2 linked regions of the Bombyx mori genome follow. The protein of the gene in region 1 binds, or shares a complex with, the protein of each later gene. Links are inferred from orthologs where the notes say so. Each region holds a gene or a part of one and is shown in the gene's direction. Other genes may lie near its edges. The genes, in order: integrator complex subunit 7 and integrator complex subunit 9.

Region 1 (3,936 bases):
AAAACAAGGACCATACTGACATCTGTTGTCAGTTGCCAATGTACTTTAAAACTCTAGTTTTTATGTTTATTGACCCATAATGGGCGATAGATGTCGCTCAAAACAAAAAAGAAGTTTTGTTTACAATTTTTTCCCTGTTGAAAAATCAGCCGTACGTACTTGTGTACATTTATTAAATATTTTCTATGCGAATTATGGATATTTTACCCCTAACTTATTGGCCAAACTATAATCAGTCTATTTCGACTTTTTAGCGGGAACGTGAGGAGTGAAGTTGTGTGATATTTTGTTTTATTTTGTCTATTTAGTTTTTCTTCAGGTTTAAATGTATAATAACGGTGATTTATTAACTGTTTAATATCTGTGACAGTGCACAAATGTGGGAAAATGAAACAAAGCCGCTGGACGTAACTTCTCGGGATCCTCCAAAAAGTCTGAAAGAATCTCAGTGAATGACCACTATTTTACTGAGATTATATTTCATCCCATATCATTTCATCTCATTTCCTTTCATTTCATCCCAGTTGATTGATGCCTCAAATTAATCATCTTCATTTCATTTCACTTCATATTATCAATTATATGCTTCAGAATCCCAAACAGACAAATACGGTGATGATATAAAGATCGCGGTACCAGACCATAAAATGTACAAAAAAATAGGACCATCACGAAGAAATACATCGATGTTTCACGCCAAACAAATGTTTTGAATGTATCGATTAGAAACATAAATATAATAATATTATATAATAATGTAATGTATTGTGTTTATTAAATAAATATGGTTATGATAGTAAAAGAGAAAAGAAAGAGAAAATCATTTGTTTGAATCAAATCATTTTTTAGGTTTTTACTAAGATAGTTTTTAAATGTGCGAAATTTATCTATTCGGAAACTGAATGGGTAGTTTTCAACTATTACAATGAAGGCAATCAAACGTTGAAAGAATGCGAATTTGGCATTGTAATCTAAATTGTAATGAAATATGTATTTGTATTAGTGACACTATGATTGTAATTGAATTGATGCGATGAATCGAGTAATGAGATTTGTGGCACGCAAAGGATCGATTAAAAGTAAATCAACATTCGACAACACTATTGTAGACATTAGGTCCATAGATTAGGTATACACCTTAGGTAGATAATACACGACTCTATGATACACGACGTTGGGTGTTTACATAAACAATCAAAACAAAATAAATTAAAATTATTCTTATTAAATAACCTAAACGGATAATGATTGGTGTTAAAATGAATACATTCAACGACAATTCGGCGGAGCCTGAACAAGATGCAAATTCAGCATTGACCGAGCTCGATAAAGGTAAATATAACCTCTACTAATACCTAGAAAACTTTTATTTAAAAAACAAAATAAAAAATGTTTTTTTCTCCAGGCCTACGGTCGTGCAAAGTAGGAGAGCAATGTGAAGCCATCGTCCGGTTCCCTCGTCTTTTCGAAAAATATCCTTTCCCTATATTAATTAATTCATCTTTTCTTAAATTGTCTGACGTTTTTCGTATGGGTAACAATTTTTTGAGACTCTGGGTTTTGAGAGTCTGTCAACAAAGCGAAAAGCACCTAGATAAGATTCTGAACGTAGACGAGTTCTTAAGGAGGATCTTTAGTGTTCTACACTCAAACGATCCGGTGGCTAGGGCTCTCGCTCTGAGAACGCTTGGTGCAGTAGCAGGTATTATCCCAGAGCGCCAGAATGTACATCACGCAATCCGAAGGGGCTTGGATAGCCATGACAATGTTGAAGTTGATGCTGCTATATATGCTACTACTAGATTTGCTGCCCACTCCAAGTAAGTGCCGTCATAAGCTGCAAAAACTGTCATTGAGGCAAAAATTTAATCTGTTAACCAAATAGGTACTTAATAAAAAGTATCCAATGCATCCAATGCAATGGTAGGCAGCGGTTTGGCTCAGCCCCTGGCATTGCTGAAGTCCATGGGCGACGGTAACCGCTCACCATCAGGTGGGCCGTATGCCCGTCTGCCTACAAAGGCAATAAAAAAAAAAAAATCCAAACCATAACTAAGTATTACTAATTACCAGAAGTATAAACTGCTTATTTAATTGTCTCTCAAACTTTTAAATGCATATTTTGTACTTGTATTTTCTCATATTGTGATGTGTTTTAGTTCATTCGCAGTAGCCATGTGCAATAAGCTATCAGATATGGTGGAAAGTGAGGGCACTGCTGCTGAGAGACGAGCAAAACTTGTCAGAGCCCTGAGGACCGTTCATGGTGGAGGTAATCAGGAATTTTACTAGTTACCTACCTTTATTCAAATTAATTTCTTTATTCTTAAACATGTATAAAAATAAAGTTGATAAACCAACCACCTAATAAGTAATTTAGAATTACACTTAACCTTTTTTTTTTGTTTTCTAGCAATCAGAGCACAAGGAGTTTTGAAATTATTGAGATCATTGTTAGACAAGTTTCCTTCGTCAAGTTCGGTGCGAGCTTCAATCACTGCACTCACACATATAGCTTCAGATACAGTGGTTCATGTTCCTGATCAGGTAAGAATGATTCATTATATGATTATAAAAAGTCACTGCAGAAGCACAAAGTGAAGCCCTGATCAGACGTGGTTACCATAACTTATAGGCTTAGCAATGTTTAGTGCAGTATCAAATCACTGCTTAAGGAGTCATTTTAAAGCTCATAAGAAGAAAGATGCATTCATAGTGTTCGGACTACAATCAAGCTTATTACTTCACTATAACATTACTAGGTCTATTAAAAACTTCAGTGCTTTTAATGTTATAGGTTGAACTACTGCTAAATATAGCCATGAATGACGCCCGATCAGCCGTACGTCGTTCCGCACTGCTTGGCCTCAAGAAGTTGGCTGAGAATGCAGCTCTCTGGCCCGCACACTGTATACAGAACCTGGTCAGAGCCGCTAGCGATAGTCGAGACACTGACCACACTATGCTGTGCCTTCGAGTAATGCAGGTAATAACAATAAGATATCTCACTGTGCTTTATTTAATTGAAAAAAGGACTCACTTAAAAGTATTAATTATAATTGGTAAAATGCATGTTTTTATTCAAGGAGATTACATGACAATTTATCCTTCTAGATTCTGGTGCAGTGCCCAGCAGTGTGCGCCACGGCAGGGTGTCCTCAGCGCGGCGAGTACAGTGCCCTGAGGCAGTACTGCAGTGAAGCCGCTCTCAGTGCTGACTTGAAGCAAGCCGCAACCGCTGCGGATGTCCTCACCAGGATCGTTGTTCATTGGTGACTATTCATAATTTTTTTTATTGCTTTAAATCGGTGAACGAGCTCACGGCCCACGTCTATAGAGAAATCTACAACGTAAATGCCGCCACCCACCTTGAGACATGAGTTTGATGCATTCAAACCGAAACGCATTACTGCTTCACGGCAGAAATAGGCAGGGTGGTGGTACCTACCCATATGGACTTACAAGACATCCTGCCACCTGTTAAAATGTATAATGACTAGCATCTTCCAGGTCATCTCTTAGGCTCTTGGTTACTAAACGAGGGCATAAATAAACAAATCTGTTTACTTTGTTGAGATATGGCTGTATGGAACCTATTATCGTACAAAGTTAAATATCACTAATATACCTTGAACTACTATTACCTTGAAATCTCAATTTCAATATACATATTAGAAAAACATTTTGTGATCTGTGATATAAAAATTATTGCTAGTGCCCGAAATTTAACAACAAAATATACCTTTCAGTACCTATTCTCTAAAGCCAAAAGGAAAACTCATATACACATACTATTTTTGTGGATCACATGACTGAACAAGGATAGCAAACATAAATGTCATCTGATACTTTTAACTGTCCCATAAAAAAACATTATAAATACACTTGTAATTGAAAATTTGGTTGCACTTAAAGAAGCTATAAGTATTTTAATTC
Region 2 (2,821 bases), on another chromosome or scaffold:
TTAGGTGGTTTCCATTTCACGTATTCTCATCCCAATTGACCCCTTTTTCGTTGTTATTTGCACCTAAGACGTCCCCAATATCCCCAAAAACAACAGATTTTTACATGTATTTTTATTTAATCAAATACATTAAAACCAATAACAACTGAGACTTACTTTTAATATATATTCTGGTTCAAACACTAAATAACGTTTATAAATCATAGTCGTCTTCTATTATTATCAAATAAATAAAAGAGAGCAAAGTTTCTAGCACTAAAATAATTACCACCACAGGAAGTTAATTTGAAACGCGATTTTTTATAAGTTAGCAGCTATTCTACTATTAAACTACAAAAAATGGAAGATTTTGTAACGAATATAAAACTTATATTGAGCATCGAAAGATTTTCCCGGTTTTTTCCCGATTCGCCTCTCAATCCCTAATCGCCCCATTTTACCGGTACTCGTTTTGTATCTTCGACGCATTTTGAGTGTGTATCTATCGGGCTGTTTTTATATTTTCAACGATCACTGCTTTATTATTACGGATTCCAACTCTGCCAGCGTTGTATGACAATTGCTTCTACACTGTACACCGAAGATCGCTCACACGTTTGACTTGAAATTGTTGCATTGGATACTGTTGAAATTATGGATCGCTGTGTGAATTGTGGGATAGCAATTCCATATTCCATACCTGATATATATCATTGATATTCATTCATAATATGACATTTAAAAGGTTATCCAATGGATATAATAAACATTTACTTATGCTTAAATAAGTTATTATTCAGCTCTTTTAAAGAGATTGTAACATAATCTAACTTTTACTAAATCTTTATTAACTCGGCTTTCAGATTGAGAAAACTTTTATAATTTTCAGCAAGGTACTGATAAATCTGAATCTATTAATTCATATTAGTTTCATCACGTTACATTCGGGCCCAAAAATGTATGTAATCGTTTCAGTCTCCTTTCTGTACACTAAACGAAAATTTCGTAGATCCAATATTGCAATAATATGGGCACACTACATTTTATTAAAATGTAAGTATATGGTATCCGAACCTATTCTATTTGCATTTAATCAATTAGTAGCACAATCGGGCCCGGCCGGGACCTCTTCACGCGATTCTATTTATTTTATTAAAAATATCTATCTATAGAGCCCAACTGTGAGACGATCAGTCGAAATCCGCAATAATTTTTTTTTGTTACTCTTGTATTTATTGTTTATTGTACGCAAGTGTCATATTGCAGAACCGGACTTCCCGTACACGGAGGCGCTGGCCCCCTTCCAGCCGCTGAGCATGAAGGCCTTCCACTGTCCCATCGACACGTCGCTCAACTACTCGCAGGCCAACAAGCTGGTGCGCGAGCTGCGGCCGCGCGAGCTCGCCCTGCCCGAGCAGTACGCCGCGCCCGGGCCCGCCGCCGCCGCCGCGCGCCCGCACATCGCCGCCGACGTGCCCACCGTGGTGGTGCGGCGCGGCACGGCGCGGCGCGTAGGCGGCCGCCGCACGCTGGCCCGCGGCACGCTCAGCGGCAGCCTGGCCGCCCGCCTGGCGCCGCGCGACCTCCGCGCCGGCCTGCGCGCCGCGCCCCTCCGCGCCGCGCTGTCGCTGCGGGACAGCCGCCTGCACGTGCACTCGCCGCCGCCGGGCGCGGGCGGGGCGGGGGGCGCGGAGGCGGGCGGGCGCGTGGAGTGCGGCGCGCCGGACGTGGAGGCGCTGGTGCGGGAGCTGCGGCGCGCGGGCGCGGAGGAGGCGCGGGTGGAGCGCGGCGCGGACGGCTGCATCGTGCACCTGCCGCGCCACGACACGCTGGTGCACGTGGACGCGCACGCCACGCACGTGTTCTGCGAGGCGGGCGCCGACCTGCGCCTGGCGCTGCGGCAGGCGCTGGCGCTCACCGTGCCCACCATATAGCGCCGCGCTCCACCCGCGTGCGTGTGTTCAATCAACAAATCGAACCGTCGATAAAATTTAAACAAAAAATTAAATATTCATTTATGAAGTCGTTTATGAACTTTCTCAATATATTTTTAATGTGAAAATCAAAATTTACAACACAGCTTTATTTGTAAAAAGGAAAATAAATGTGTTTATAACGTATCATTTTTAATTTTTTCGAAACCCTCGTGGACATGTGTATAGGAACAACGCCATGGGCTCTGTACCCCCCGCACGCGTAGCGAGATGTCTTACTCAATAAAAAAGATTTTCTTTTCCTCGTGCGACAATCTGCTTTTTGCGACGCCGCTGCTGCCAGTATGTAGTTTTTAAAAATCTTCCAATGTCAGCAACTTTGTTATATAAATGGAATGAAGTTGATTTATTTACAGCTAATCGTTTTATATAAAATAAAATGAATCTAAATAAAGCCAGATGAGACGAAATGCAGTAGTGTCAGTACTGCGGCGGCGGGTCAGTCAGACCTCCCTGCCCGGCCGGCAGCCCGCGCACGCTTCACGAGCCGCCGCTGCTACACGCTGCGACCGGGAGAACCCCTAAACTAACAATATTGAACAGGTCCCACAGCCGCGCGCAGCCCCCCGCACCGTGCTCCCTGCCCCCCCTGCTCTCTACCCCCGCCGCCCATATCCCGCTGAAAGCCTTTAACACGTCTTTACTTTTATATTTTTGATAATTTAATTCAGCTAGCTGGTCTCACGGGATGTCATTTGTAAATGTCCTCTGAATAAATACGCAATGTTACAATTACTCTACGCCACGCCCTAACCCGCGACAACGTTGCGGCATTGCTACGTCCACAGCGCGCGATTGAGGTCAGGACGGTTCGCGGATACCGCACCGTCTCACTCGAGGCGGCGTGC

What was found.
Region 2: integrator complex subunit 7 (region 1) and integrator complex subunit 9 share a complex: the UniProt entries of both Homo sapiens proteins name them as parts of the integrator complex. The link is inferred for Bombyx mori from reciprocal best matches to the Homo sapiens genes INTS7 and INTS9.

What each region holds. Positions count from the first base shown.
Region 1 is NC_085129.1:14,670,989-14,674,924, forward strand, and holds the start of integrator complex subunit 7, read left to right. Parts: upstream 1-1,113; 5' UTR 1,114-1,244; coding exon 1,245-1,332; intron 1,333-1,405; coding exon 1,406-1,820; intron 1,821-2,159; coding exon 2,160-2,272; intron 2,273-2,413; coding exon 2,414-2,547; intron 2,548-2,797; coding exon 2,798-2,986; intron 2,987-3,114; coding exon 3,115-3,272; intron 3,273-3,936. UniProt on the Homo sapiens protein: Component of the integrator complex, a multiprotein complex that terminates RNA polymerase II (Pol II) transcription in the promoter-proximal region of genes.
Region 2 is NC_085111.1:136,362-139,182, reverse strand, and holds the end of integrator complex subunit 9, read left to right. Parts: intron 1-1,245; coding exon 1,246-1,913; 3' UTR 1,914-2,099; downstream 2,100-2,821. UniProt on the Homo sapiens protein: Component of the integrator complex, a multiprotein complex that terminates RNA polymerase II (Pol II) transcription in the promoter-proximal region of genes.